Linked DNA regions of Stegostoma tigrinum. The protein of the gene in region 2 binds, or shares a complex with, the protein of the main gene of each other region. Links are inferred from orthologs where the notes say so. Each region holds a gene or a part of one and is shown on either strand. Other genes may lie near its edges. The genes, in order: DDB1- and CUL4-associated factor 1-like and samhd1.

Region 1 (8,107 bases), on a different chromosome or scaffold from region 2:
TTGATCCTCATGTATGCACCCTCAAATTTCTGTGACCATATGCATGTCCAGCAGTCTCTTAACTGACCCCAATGACCTTGCTTCCACAACTGCTGCTGGCAACGCATTCCATGCTCTCACAACTCTCTGTGTAAAGAACCCACCTCTGAATCCCCTCTATGCTTTCCTCCAACCAGCTTAAAACTATGACCCCTCGTGTTAGCCATTTCTGCCCTGGGAAATAGTCTCTGGCTATGAACTAACTCTATCTATGCCTCTCATTATCTTGTATACCTCAATTAGGTCCCCTCTCCTCCTCCTTTTCTCCAATGAAAAAATTCCGAGCTCAGTCAACCTCTCTTCATGAGATAAGCCCTCCAATCCAGGCAGCATCCTGGTAAACCTCCTCTGAACCCTCTCCAAAGCATCCACATCTTTCCTATAATAGGGTGATCAGAACTGGACGCAGTATTCCAAGTGCGGTCTAACCAAAGTTTTATAGAGCTGCAACAAGATCTCACGACTCTTAAACTCAATCCCCCTGTTAATGAAAGCCAAAACACCATATGCTTTCTTAACAACCCTGTCCAATTGGGTGGCCATTTTAAGGGATCTATGTATCTGCACACCAAGATCCCTCTGTTCCTCCAAACTGCCAAGAATCCTATCCTTAATCCTGTACTCAGCTTTCAAATTCGACCTTCAAAAATGCATCACCTCGCATTTATCCAGGTTGAACTCCATCTGCCACCTCTCAGCCCATCTCTGCATCCTGTCAATGTCCCGCTGCAGCCTACAACAGCCCTCTATACTGTCAATGACACCTCCAACCTTTGTGTCATCTGCAAATTTGCTGACCCATCCTTCAATTCCCTCATCCAAGTCGTTAATAAAAATTACGAACAGTAGAGGCCCAAGGACAGAGCCCTGTGGAACACCACTCACCACTGACTTCCAGGCAGAATATTTTCCTTCTACTACCACTCGCTGTCTTCTGTTGGCCAGCCAATTCTGTATCCAGACAGCTAAGTTCCCCTGTATCCCATTCCTCCTGACCTTCTGAATGACCCTACCATGGGGAACCTTATCAAATGCCTTGCTGAAGTCCATATACACCACATCCACAGCTCGACCCTCATCAACCTTTCTAGTCACATCCTCAAAAAACTCGATAAGGTTTGTGAGGCATGACCTGCCCCTCACAAAGCCGTGTTGACTGCATTTAATCAAGCCATGCTCTTCCAGATAGTCATAAATCCTATCCCTCAGAATCCTTTCTAACACCTTGCAGACGACAGACGTGAGACTTACTGGTCTGTAATTGCCGGGGATTTCCCTATTTCCTTTCTTGAAGAGAGGAATTACATTTGCCTCTCTCCAGTCCTCAGATACGACTCCAGTGGAGAGCGAGGATGCAAAGATCTTCGCAAGTGGCAAAGCAATTGCATTTCTCATTTCCCAAAGCAGCCAAGGACAAATCTGGTCCAGGCCTGGCGAATTGTCAATCTTAATGTTTGACAAAATTTTCAGCACATCAGCTTCCTCTATCTCTATCCATTCCAGCATGCACACCTGCTCTTCAAAGGTTTCATTCACTACAAAGTTCGTTTCTTTCGTAAAGACAGAAGCAAAAAACTCATTTAGGGCTTCCCCTACCTCCTCAGACTCCACACACAAGTTCCCTATGCTATCCCTGATCGGCCCTACTCTTTCTTTGACCATTCTCTTATTCCTCACGTAAGTGTAAAATGCCTTTGTGTTCTCCCTAATCCGTTCTGCCAAGCCTTTCTCGTGCCCCCTCCTGGCTCTCCTCAGACCATTTTTGAGCTCCTTCCTTGTCTGCCTGTAATCCTCTAGAGCTTCCTCCACCTTATGTAAGCTACCTTCTTCCTTTTGATGAGAAGCTCCACCGCTCTCGTCATCCAAGGTTCCTTCCTCTTACCCCTTCTTGCCTGTCTCAGAGGACATATTTATTCATCACTCGCAACAACTGTTCCTTAAACAGTCTCCACATGTCTATAGTGCCTTTACCATGGAACAATTGCTCCCAGTCCATGCTTCCTAACTCATGTCTAATCGCATCATAGTTTCCTCTTCCACAACTAAATATCCTCCCATTTTGCCTAATCCTCTCCTTCTCCATAGCTATGTAGAATGTGAGGCAGTTATGGTCACTATCACCAAAATGCTCTCCCACCACAAGATCTGATACCTGCCTCAGCTCGTTTCCGAACACCGAGTCTAGAATGCCCTCTCCCCTCGTCGGCCTGTCAACGTACTGAGTTAGGAAACCCTCCTGAACACACCTTACAAAAACAGCTCCATTCAAATCTTCTGCTCGAAGGAGGTTCCAATCAATATTGGGAAAGTTAAAGTCACCCATTACAACAACCCTACTACGTCCACACTTTTCCAAATCTGCCGACCTATGCTTTCTTCAATCTCCCTGCTGCTGTTGGGAGGCCTTTAGTAAACCCCTAACGAGGTGACTACTCCCTTGCTGTTCCTAATTTCCACCCATACTGACTCGGTACGCAGATCTTCCTCGACAAAGGAAGCTTCTGTAGCTGTGGTACCCTCTCTGGTTAGTAGTGTTACACCTCCTCCTCTTTTTCCCCCTCCCTATTCTTTTTAAATGCTCTAAACCCTGGAACATTCAGCAACCATTCCTGCCCCTGAGAAACCCATGTCTCTGTTATGGCCACAACATCATAGCACCAGGTACTGATCCATGCTCTAAGTTCATCACTTTTATTCCTGATACTCCTTGCGTTAAAGCAAACACACTTTAACCGATCCCTTGGTTCCTTCCCAGGAAAATCCTTCCCACTAGCTGGTCTACCTCTTGCTATTGCCTCACCTGCATCAACTCTCACCTCCGGGAGACAGCTCAGGTTCCCACCCCCCTGCCATACTCGTTTAAACCCTCTCGAACTACTCGAGCAAACCTTCCACCCAGGATATTGGTCCCCTTCCAGTTCAGATGCAACCCATCCGTCTTGTACAGGTCCCACCTTCCCCAGAAGGCATCCCAATTATCTACATATCCGAAGCCCTCCCTCCTACACCAGCTGCGCAGCCACGTGTTAAGCTGCGCCCGCTCCCTGTTCCTCGCCTCGCTATCTCGTGGCACCGGTAATAAACTAAAGAACACTACTCTGTTCGTCCTGCTTTGCAGCTTCCATCCTAACTCCCTGAAATCACTTTTTATATCCTCAATCCTTTTTCTGGCTATATCATTAGTGCCAATATGTAACACGATTTCTGGCTGTTCGCCCTCCCCTTTTAGAACCTTATACACCCGATCGGAGACGTGCCGGACCCTGGCACCAGGGAGGCAACATACCTTCTGGGAATCCAGATCCTGACCACAAAATCTCCTGTCGATTCCCCTAACTATCGAGTCCCCTACCACGAGTACTTTTCTATTCTGCCCCCTTCCCTTCTTTGCCACAGTGTCAGGCTCAGTGCCAGAGAACTGACTACTATGGTAGGTCATCCCCCCCCAGCAGTATCCAAAGCGGTATACTTATTGCTGAGGGGAATGCCCACAGGGGATCTCTGCACTGTCTGTCTGTCCCCTTTCTTCCCCCTAACTGTAACCCATCTATCCTTGTCCTGAGCCTTAGGAGTGACCAACTCCCGGTAACTCCTCTCAATTACCCCCTCTGCCTCCCGAATGATCCGTAGTTCAAAAAGCTCCAGCTCCATTTCCCTAACACAGTTTTCAAGGAGCTGGAGTCGGGTGCACTGCCCGCAGATGTGGCCAGTGGAGACGTGTGCCATGTCTCCCAGCTGCCACATTCTGCAGGAGGAGCAAGCAACTGCCCTAGCATCCATACCCCACTTATCTGAACACCCACTCAGTACTAAAGTAGAAAGCTTAGTTCAAGTTGCTATAAAATTAATAACAAACTTAAGGCAATTAGGGATGATTAATGCTGGTCACTCCAACCCATTGCTACCAACTGTAATTGCTACAAATGCATCTTCTGTAGGACTGGAAACTATGCTGTTTCAGGTACAGATGGAAAACATAAGCCAGTTTACAGCACTTGCCCTTCACTGCCAGACACCTAAAAGTGATATCCATTATGGGAAAATGAAGCATGAATGATATACTAGCGATATACAAGCAGCCTCAATAAAAAAGTAATGAATTGTCACATTATCTTCTCACAGCCTCCAGGCCAGATAAAGCCTCAATGTGTTTCTTAGATAAAATTAATGTTTAGTTAAACTCAACATACTTTGCAGTACAGGACTAAAAACATTATGATTACCAACCAGTCTGTTTTTAATTAATGATTTTCATTTTTCTGCATTTTGATTGCAGTTGGCTGGCGACAAATATTGGTTTCACTTGGAATGGAGCCAGACAATCTTTTTAAGGCGCCTTGAAAGGGCGGGGAAGGCATGACCTCGCATTGAAAGGGACTAGCTCCAAGCCTGCAAGGCTCCTAACCCTAAACCCTTTCTAACACAATTGAAAGACAACAACGAGCGCCATGTGGCAAATTCAGATTGCAAACAGGAATTGGCACAGGGATAGCGTACTTACCACCTCTGAAGGACTGGGTTCAACTGCCACTTGCTTCTGAAGTTTTCCAAACAGGTTGGTTACATACCTACAGTGAAGAAAGAATAAAATTCGGCTGAACTACAGCCAAAGTTGTAAATTCTGCTACTTTTTAAAAATAAAGCCGGTGCACACACATCTGCAGCAAATACGGTCTCCTGGTCCACAAGTAAGGACCATACCACTGCGCGTACGATGCTCCACGCCACGTCGGGAAACGACGATGCTACGCAGGCGCAGTGATGTCCAAACGCCTGGACTACAAGCCCCAGAATGCCGAGCGGCCACACGCAGCAACGAACTGACGTCACAGCCGCCATCACTGGGAGCGTGGAGCCTAGGGCCTGACGCTGATACAGACCGAGCTCATCGCTGCTAGACAGCCAGGTCAGTGGGAACCCGCCCGGGGATCGCTACTATCGTAGTCTCCGGCGGTGCAGCAGGGCAGCCAAACGGTAGCCCCCACACCCTCTCGGCTCGCGGGGAGGCGGAGCGAGGCCTCACCGTAAGCGGGGGGAGAGGGGAAGCCGCAGCCGGCCGTGGTTGAGGCCCCGGGCCCACACGTGAGGAGGTGGAGGGGGGGGGAACCGGAGCGGTCCGCGAGGGAGAGGAAACTACAACAAGAACAGAGAGTTGGAGGGAAAAAGTGGGGAGAGACTGGAAGGAGGACAGGATCCGGAGGAGGACGGGGTTGGGGAAGCAGTGTGGCTTGAAGAGGATGACGGGGGACGTGGGACCGGGGTGGGGAGGTGTGCAACGATGGGGACGTGGGGCTTAGGGGGGGGTCAACGATGGGGACGTGGGGCTTGAGGTGGGGGGTGTGCAACGATGGGGACGTGGGACTTGGGCGGGGGGGGTTGCAACGATGGGGACGTGGGACTTGGGCGGGGGGGGTTGCAACGATGGGGACGTGGGACTTGGGCGGGGGGGGTTGCAACGATGGGGACGTGGGACTTGGGCGGGGGGGGTTGCAACGATGGGGACGTGGGACTTGGGCGGGGGGGGTTGCAACGATGGGGACGTGGGACTTGGGCGGGGGGGGTTGCAACGATGGGGACGTGGGACTTGGGCGGGGGGGGTTGCAACGATGGGGACGTGGGGCGGGGGGGGTTGCAACGATGGGGACGTGGGGCGGGGGGGGTTGCAACGATGGGGACGTGGGGCGGGGGGGGTTGCAACGATGGGGACGTGGGACTTGGGCGGGGGGGGGTTGCAACGATGGGGACTTGGGCGGGGGGGGTTGCAACGATGGGGACTTGGGCGGGGGGGGTTGCAACGATGGGGACGTGGGACTTGGGCGGGGGGGGTTGCAACGATGGGGACGTGGGACTTGGGCGGGGGGGGTTGCAACGATGGGGACGTGGGACTTGGGCGGGGGGGGTTGCAACGATGGGGACGTGGGACTTGGGCGGGGGGGTTGCAACGATGGGGACGTGGGACTTGGGCGGGGGGGGTTGCAACGATGGGGACGTGGGACTTGGGCGGGGGGGGTTGCAACGATGGGGACGTGGGACTTGGGCGGGGGGGGTTGCAACGATGGGGACGTGGGGCGGGGGGGGTTGCAACGATGGGGACGTGGGACTTGGGCGGGGGGGGGTTGCAACGATGGGGACGTGGGGCGGGGGGGGTTGCAACGATGGGGACGTGGGGCGGGGGGGGTTGCAACGATGGGGACGTGGGGCGGGGGGGTTGCAACGGTGGGGCGGGGGGGGTTGCAACGATGGGGACGTGGGGCGGGGGGGGTTGCAACGATGGGGACGTGGGGCGGGGGGGGTTGCAACGATGGGGACGTGGGACGGGGGGGAGCAACGATGGGGACGGGGGACGTGGGACGTGGGGGGGGAGCAACGATGGGGACGGGGGACGTGGGACGTGGGGGGGGGGTGCAACGATGGGGACGTGGAACGGGGGGGTGCAACGATGGGGACGTGGGACGTGGGGGGGGTGCAACGATGGGGACGTGGGGGGGGTGCAATGACGGGGGGGTGCAACGACGGGGACGTGGGGGGGGTGCAACGATGGGGACGTGGGGGGGGTGCAACGACGGGGACGTGGGGGGGGTGCAACGACGGGGACGTGGGACGTGGGGGGGTGCAACGACGGGGACGTGGAGGGGGTGCAACGACGGGGACGTGGGACGTGGGGGGGTGCAACGACGGGGACGTGGAGGGGGTGCAACGACGGGGACGTGGGACTTTCGGGGGGGGTGCAACGACGGGGACGTGGGACTTTCGGGGGGGTGCAACGACGGGGACGTGGGACTTTCGGGGGGGTGCAACGACGGGGACGTGGGACTTTCGGGGGGGTGCAACGACGGGGACGTGGGACTTTCGGGGGGGTGCAACGACGGGGACGTGGGACTTTCGGGGGGGTGCAACGACGGGGACGTGGGACTTTCGGGGGGGTGCAACGACGGGGACGTGGGACTTTCGGGGGGGTGCAACGACGGGGACGTGGGACTTTCGGGGGGGTGCAACGACGGGGACGTGGGACTTTCGGGGGTGGGGTGCAACGACGGGGACGTGGGACTTGGGGTGGGGTGCAACGACGGGGACGTGGGACTTGGCAGGGGGGTGCAACGACGGGGACGTGGGACTTGGCGGGGGGGTGCAACGACTGGGACTTGGGGTGGGGTGCAACGACGGGGACGTGGGACTTGGGGGGGGTGGGGTGTGTGCAACGACAGGGACGAGGGACTGGGTGGGGGGTGCAACGACGGGGGCGAGGGACTGGGTGGGGGGGGTGTGCAGGGACGAGGAACTGCGTGGGGGGAGGTTGCAGCGACGGGGACGAGGGTCTGCGTGGGGGGTGGATTTCAGCGACGGGGACGAGGGTCTGCGTGGGGGGGGCAGAGACGGGGACGAGGGTCTGCGTGGGGTGTGCAGAGATGGGGACGAGGGACTGTGTCGGGGTGGCAGAGTTGGTGACGAGGGACTGTGTGGGGAAGTGGGCCTGCAGAAGCACTTGAGGAATGGGGTGCTGAGTCTGCCTCTTCGCAGACTCATTCCTCCAAAGAGGTGGGTGAAGAGTCTCGGGTGATGAGACCAGAGGTGGTTGGGGGGAAGAGAAAGCAAGTGTGGAGAGTGAGGGAGGAGAGAAGAGGCCTACTGAGGTCAGGATGGAAAAGACTGCTGTTTCAGTCTCATCCTCGATTAAATAAGTACTTCAGTCTACCCTGTAGAACAAAATAATATTTCAAATAAAAATGGCAAGCAAAGAAGGCCCAATTGTCTTCAGTGCAATTTGTTTGTCATCTTGTCTTGCAATAAATATTGAGTTTATTTCCTCCCAACCGTTTTTTTAAAGGAATATTGTTGAGATGCTTTGAGCTGATGGGTTGCATCTTATGTTTTGAAAAATAGCTTCAGTGTGTGGATATGGGTGCCCAGTAGATGATATTCCATGTATATTACAAGAGGCTTTTGTTATGATGCGTATTGAAAATGAATGTACTATAGCCAAGTTTGTGGATGACACAAAGAGGTATGACGGCAAGTGGTGGGGATGACATGAGTGTACAGAAGAATGCAGACCTGTTAAGAGTGGGCA
Region 2 (7,152 bases):
CTCCACCTATCTTCTTTACTCTCCATCTTCGGTCCGCCTCCCCCTCTCTCCCTATTTATTCCAGAACCCTCTCCCCATCCCCCTCTCTGATGAAGGGTCTAGGCCCGAAACGTCAGCTTTTGTGCTCCTGAGATGCTGCTTGGCCTGCTGCGTTCATCCAGCCTCACATTTTATTATCTTGGATTCTCCAGCATCTGCAGTTCCCATTATCAATGGCTTTTATTATTCTGGCAGGCCAACAAAGTTTATTCCACTACCAATCTTTCCAAGCTTATGACGAATCCACAAAACCCTTCCCCTTGACTTACTCTTAGGCTCTTTTGCACCAAGGTTACTTTAGCCCCTTCTTCCAATGTGAAAAAGATTTTAAAAACCCACTTATCATGTCTCCCTCTGTCCTACTTTGTATTATAATCTTATCCTCAACTGTTTTCAAATAAGTTCACATTCCCTTTCCATTAGTTCATTGATTTAAAAAAAACTGGACAGAGCACTTTTCCCCATTTTCCCACCCACTTTGTTGCTTACTTTCTCTTTCTATTGTGTTTAATAGCTCTTCCAATCTCCTTTGCCTTGCATTCATGTCAGTATTTTCTAGTAACTTGAGACTAGCTCTTTATTTTCTTACTATAGTTTCTGTTGTCGAAAAAATTGAGCCATTAGCCTCTAGTGTGCAATTTTACTGAACCTAATGCCTGTGGAAATACTTCCCATTGTTTGATCATTTATTTACATATTAATAGAATTTGTGTAAGCCTCTATCAGTGCGGCACTATCTTTTACCTTGTCTGGTGTCTTAAGTACACAATTGTGTTTTTATAGCAGAAGTTTGCAAACAGTGGGTCATGTTACCCACAGGGATCGTAGATGCAGTTTTAGCTGGCAGCGGCAATATGATCAGCAAGGCTATGGAATTCTCAAAACTTATACTTATATTACATATTTGATCAATAATACCCAAATTTCAATAAGTATTTATATACACAGCATTATTAAGCTGCTTTATTACCTTTTGTCAATTTTCAAGTCTCAAAACAGGCTCATATTGGAAAGTAGCGTGGGGAACAATTTTAAAGCTACAGTGAACGGAGGGCATGACAAATATTTTATTTTGCTTTTATGTTTACCAATTAATAGCTCAGCCCATTGCAATGTGTGCAATTAGTGTCCATTTCTACTTAAGGTTAAGAAAAATCACGTCCCTCCCTCCTTTCTCTATTTTACTCTAAAATCAAAGATGTAATATGATCAATATTGCAACAGCCTACTTCCTTATTGGTGTTTTGAACAATGCAAGGTGACATTTTTGAAACAGACAAGGTTCTTCTCGCATTTGAAAAGGTCGACTCAGAAGGTGTTTCGCCTTGTGACAGAGTCTAGGAGCAGACAGCATAATCTCATATTAAAAAGGGGTCACCCATCCAAGACAGAGGAGGAATTTCTTCTCTCAGAGGGAGTGAACTTGTGGAATTCCTTACCACAGAGAACTGTCAAGGATGGATTGCTGAGCAATGTTCCCTCCAAGGCATTCAATTACACAGATACCAGGAAGTTCCACAACACAGGCTTCTGCCTGATCAGACCTCAGAAATCCACGTAGTGGGGGAAAGAATTAGAGGGAACACTGCTGTTAAGTGCGTACAAAGACTGATATTGACAGATTTAAATCTGGAAAGGAATCAAGGGTGAGAGGAAAAAAAGACAGGAAAGTGGAATTGAGGATTATCAAATCAGCAACAATCCTACTGAATGACAGCGTAGACTCAATGGGCCAAACAGCCTATTCTGCTCATCTCAGTTTTATGGTCTCGCCATCTAAATGCATGACTGCAGGTGCAACTCAAGAGCTGAAAGTCCTCACTTTTATTCCCCTCTGTGCTTTGTCAGAGATCTTAAGAACACCTGAGTGGAATTTCCACCTAACTCCCACTAGAGAAACAGTAGTTCAGTAATGAGAACTCCCAAAGAGATGTATACCACATGCATCAGAGAATGGTGATGCCCAAATAAGAATACACAAGCACAGCCAAAATGCTTCTAATATTCCACATCTAAACAGAATGCTGATGTGGACTGGTGAAAGACTTCAAATGATCCCGACAATCTTCCAGCATTAAGTCATACAGTGGTACAGCACAGAAACAGTCCTAACTGGTGTGACCCAGCCATGCTTAGCAGATATTCTACACTAATCTAGTTCCATTTGTCAGCAACTGACCCATATCCATCTAAGCCCTTGATGTTCATATACCCATCCAGGTGCCTTTTAAATGTAACTTCCCCATCTCACCTTAAAACAGTGCCCTTTAGTTTTGGGGTCCCCTACTCTGGGGGAAAGAGACCTTAGCTATTCACCCTATCCATGCACCGCATGACTTTATAAACTCCTGCAAGGTCACCCTTCAGCATCGGACGCTCCAGGGAAAATAGTCCCAGTGTATTCAGCCTCTCTCCATAGCTCAAACCCTCCAAACCCTCGCAACATTCTCGTAAATCTGACTCGGCAGGGATCCTTTCAAAACAAGATCTACAACATTATTAATAGACAACATTCGGACGTATTTAGTTCAACGAAATGAAATAGCAAAGGGATGAGGTAATTCTAAGAGGAAGTATATCCTGTCTTCCTGCCTGCAAATTGCTCTTGCAAGAGAGGGGTGGGTCAAACTACGGAGAGGGTTAAGAAGGAGGGAGAGGGGCTTCGGAGAGCTCAATCAAAAAACCGGCACACTGCGTCGAAGGAACTCCTTCGGCTATGCACCGTCCAAAGATTGCACACTCACCCCTGAACAACTGCTCGAACTTTTCAAATCCATGTGTCTGCAGAAAACAGCAGACATCGTCCACGTCCCAGTGTCGGTAATCGGGTTTTAACCTGAATAGGGCCACTCTTTTGGCCGGGGTCACCGGGTGGATGTCTGTCTCAGCGGCTCTCGGCCTCTTTCGGTTCTCATTTTGATTCATTTTCCCCGGTCTCCACAATGCTGCTAGGTTGCTGTGTACTGGGCGCTCTCTCTCTGAGCTGCTGCCGGGCTCACTGAGACTGTCCCTCACCGCTGAATGAATGCCAAACCCGGAAGAAGCTCGCCCCTGACCGCTCATTGGGGCTTCAGCATAGCCATTCCCACTGACAATCAAACCCACTTCCCACCCCCAGTTAAAGCGGCGGTGCTCCCTGTTACCAACATATCGCCGAGCATCAGATCATGCAGACTCAATGGTTAGAAGCCGAGAAAATTCTAACAGGACTGGGCAGGTGATTTGCACTTATTGCCTTCTGCAGTACTCCTCGTTACGTTATTAAGATTAGGCACACCTCAAATTGGCCTCTCTTCCTCCATGTTCTTATAAGTTTTCAAGCTTTTTCTGAATTCTCCATTGAAAAACTGTTCCCGAGTCTCTTTCAACCAGAGCTTCCCAGAGATTAGAAAAGAATGACTTCCATTTCTGAAGCATCTTTCACATCCTTTGGGCATCCTAGAATACAGTAAAGCCAGTCAATTACTTTTGAAGTAATTTTTTCCTTTATTCATTCTCAGGATGTGGGCATCACTGGCTTGGCAGCATTTATTGCTCATCCCTAATTGCCCAGAGGGCAGTTAACAGTTAGCCACATTGCTGTGGGTCTGAAGTCACATGTAGACCAGACCAGGTAAGGTCGGCAGATATAACGGGAACTGCAAATGCTGGAGAATCCAAGATAATTAAGTGTGTAGCTGGATGAACACAGCAGGCGAAGCAGCATCTCAGGAGCACAACCTGAGATGCTGCTTGGCCTGCTGTGTTCATCCACCTAAATACTTTGTTATCTAAGGTCGGCAGATATCCTTCCCTAAAGGGCATTAGTGAACCAGAAGGGTTTTTCCAACAATCAACAATGGATTCATGGTCATCATTGAACTCTTAACTCCAGATTATTTTGAAACTGAATTCAGATTCCATCATCTGCCAAAGCAGTATCAAACCCAGGTTTCCAGAACATCCCCTGGGTTTCTGGAATAATAGTCCATCAATAATACGCTAAGCCATTGTCTCCCTTAAAATCTGTTCACTTTTATACTTTAGGGAGTATGTCAGGTGAACTAGTGCATCAACCTCTCGCATACAGCAATGTATTATTGCCCAGGGGGATAAACAGCAGGCAGGAGGAGACTTGGAGTAATTCTCCTGCTGTTCTTAGAAGTAGTGCCAAGCGATCTTTTTCCACCTGAGCGGGCAAACTGCAGCTCAGTTTAATAGGAAACAAAAACAGGCATTGCTGGAAAAAGCTGTTATGGGGAAGAAGCAGACTTAACATTTTGGGTCAGTGATTTTCCAGCAATTTCTGTATTTGTTTCAGATTTCCAGCATCTGTATTCTTTCCATTTTTTTCTCAGTTTAATGTCTCAACTTAACTCAACAGAGCAATGTTCTCTCAGTACACCACTGATTTGTCAGCCAAAGTGTGCAAACAGAATTCGCCGTCACTCCCTCGTCCGCTCCACACTCCCCACTAGCCCCATCACCCCGGCACTTTTCCCTGCAGCTGCAGGAACTGCTACACCTGCCCCTACACCTCCCCCCTAACCTCAGTCCCAGGCCCCAAGAAAAGCTTCCACATTAAACAGATGTTCACCTGCACATCTGCTAATGTGGTATATTGTATCCGCTGTTCCTGATGTGGCCTACTCTTACATCGGGAAAAACAAGTGGAGGCTTGGGGACTGCTTTGTGGAACACCTACACTGTGTTCCTGACAAATGACAACACCTCCCAGTCGTGAACCACTTCAACTCCCCCTCCCACTCCTTGGACGACATGTCCATCCTGGGCCTCCTCCAGTGCCATAACAATGCCACCCACAGACTAGAGGGAACAGCACCTCATATTCCCCTCAGGAACCCTGCAACCCAATGGTCTCCATGTGGACTTCATAAGCTTCAAAATATCCCCTCCCCCTACTGCACATCCTTTATGTTCATTGCTGCAATCTGTAATTTGGGAAGAAATGGTTTAAGAATGTAATACTTCTGCTAAAGTCTTCAGTCACCTATTTTTAATTTTGGTTTTACATTATAATAGTTCTGAAGAAGAGTCACACCAACTCAAAACTTGTCATATGAGGAATGGTTGAGGACTCAGGGTCTGTACTTAATGAAATTTAGAAAGATGAAGGGTGATGAACTCACTGAAACTTACAAAATACTAAGATGCCTGGATAGAATGGCTGTGGAGAAGGTGTTTCCACCAATAGGTGAGACTAGGACCCCAAGGCACAGCCTCAGAGTGATGGGACAACTTTTAGAACTGAGATGAGGAGGAATTTCTTCAGCCAGAAAGTGGTTGTCTATGTAACTCACTGCTACAGAAGCCTGTGGAGACCATGTCTTTGAATGTGTTGATTCTTAATTTGTAAGGAGATAAAAGGTTACAGGGAGAAGACAGGAGAATGGATTTAAGAAACATATCAACCATGATCAACATGGGTTCAATGGGTTGAATGGCCTAATTCTACTCCTGTGTCTCATGATCTTTTCTCTCCATTGATAATTCCAGACCTGCTGAGTTTTTTAAGCATCTTCTCAGTTTGTTTCAGATTTCCAGCATCTGCAGCATTTTGCTTCTTTTTAATATTTATCTTTATTTAATATTTAATTTTTAATTTTTTAAAAAATTAATTTAATCTTTGGTTCAATTTGATGTTTGTCCAATTTTGCCGCTGTAGAATCATCTTGGAATTCTTCTGACTTGAAGGGTGCTACATGAATGCTATTGGAAAGAACTGAAAGTTAATGTCAAAATACTCGAACGTAATCTAGCAATGTTAGAATACAGAACTTTCTGACAACCAACAGTCTTTCAAAACTTTTCAACTTGCGGTAATCGGGATGAAGAGACATGCATGATCCTGCCCTGATGAATGCAAGATGAATAGTTTGACAGCTTGGCTCATTTCACTGTAATATTCCAGTTCTGTATTACCATGGACAATAAACTTTCCTAAAATAACTTTCAGGAATGCACCACATTGGCACAGTAATGGTTAAAAACAGACAAATGTCACAATCCATAGTTGGTTCCATTTGAAGGTGCAACTTGATTTAACCAGATCAGTCAGGCTGGAGGCCTGTGTTTTTAAACGACCAATGTCCCTAGATGTTTTGCAGGAAATGATTCAAAGTTTCACCCCATGCCAGATCAAGAGATGACAGACGACCAACAGGGAGTTAGATTTGACAAGTGCCTTAAATGAGGAGATAGAGCAATAGAATGTGGCCGGTTTAATGTCTTATTCGAACAATGGCATCTCCCAGGTATGTAGCACGCCCTCAGTACTGCACTGGAATGTGAGCCTAGATTTTTACACATGGGTCTCTGAAGTTCCAATTGAACCATAATCTTCTGGTTAAAGTGCCACGAGTGCTATCACCCAAGGCCTGATTAACATGGCAGGCATTGCACTTATTAATGCTTCTGAGTTCAGATAACAGATGACACTAATGTAACCAAGTCCAAATTTCAGGTCTGAAAGAGAGGCATAATTGAAACCAGAAGTGAAATATTAACTCTTTCTCTTCATAGATGCAGCCAGACCTACACAGTTTGACTAGCATTCCCTGTGTTTATTTCAGATTTCCAGCATCTGCGGTATTTTGCTTTTATTCATTCTTTAATGAGTTGAAAGCATGGTTTTCCTGTTGGTGCTCTAGTTACTTCACTCAGTCCAGGTTAGGTGGATTGGCTGTGCTAAACTGCCCCATAGTGTTCAGGGTAGGGAGATTCGCTATAGTAAAGGTCGGGTGATGGGGATGTGGATGGTGATAGGGTGGGGGAGTGGGTCTGGGACAGATGCTGTTTGGAGGGTCAGTGCAGAGCCAATGGGCTGAAAGGTGTTTATCTGCAGTGTAGGAATTCAATGGAGTTAGTGATGGGAGGACTACAGCAATAGGGGTATATGTAGGGGGGCAAGAATATGTGGCCATGACCATGGGACATTGTGTTTGAAGGAGCTCCTAAGGTAATTGTGTGTGGGGAAGAAGCCAGCAGGAATGTAGCCAGCAAGAGTTAGCAACACAATTTTCCACAGACCTTCATGAGGGTATGGAATCCACTGCCTGGAAATGTGGTAAAAGCAGGTTCAGTACATTGGATCGTTACTTGGATTTAAAAAAA

Evidence for each region.
Region 1: the proteins of samhd1 (region 2) and DDB1- and CUL4-associated factor 1-like are in contact, whole or in part, in a crystal structure (PDB 4CC9), measured with the Homo sapiens proteins. The link is inferred for Stegostoma tigrinum from reciprocal best matches to the Homo sapiens genes SAMHD1 and DCAF1. Residues at the interface, in NP_056289.2 of Homo sapiens: Ser616, Arg617, Val618, Gln619, Lys622; in NP_001336097.1 of Homo sapiens: Asn1090, Glu1091, Asp1092, Thr1114, Gln1116, Asn1132.

Annotation. Positions count from the first base shown.
Region 1 is NC_081364.1:62,918,645-62,926,751, forward strand, and holds the start of DDB1- and CUL4-associated factor 1-like, read left to right. Parts: upstream 1-4,867; 5' UTR 4,868-4,945; intron 4,946-8,107. UniProt on the Homo sapiens protein: Acts both as a substrate recognition component of E3 ubiquitin-protein ligase complexes and as an atypical serine/threonine-protein kinase, playing key roles in various processes such as cell cycle, telomerase regulation and histone modification.
Region 2 is NC_081372.1:11,096,006-11,103,157, forward strand, and holds the start of samhd1 (deoxynucleoside triphosphate triphosphohydrolase SAMHD1), read right to left. Parts: upstream 3,059-7,152; 5' UTR 2,965-3,058; coding exon 2,784-2,964; intron 1-2,783.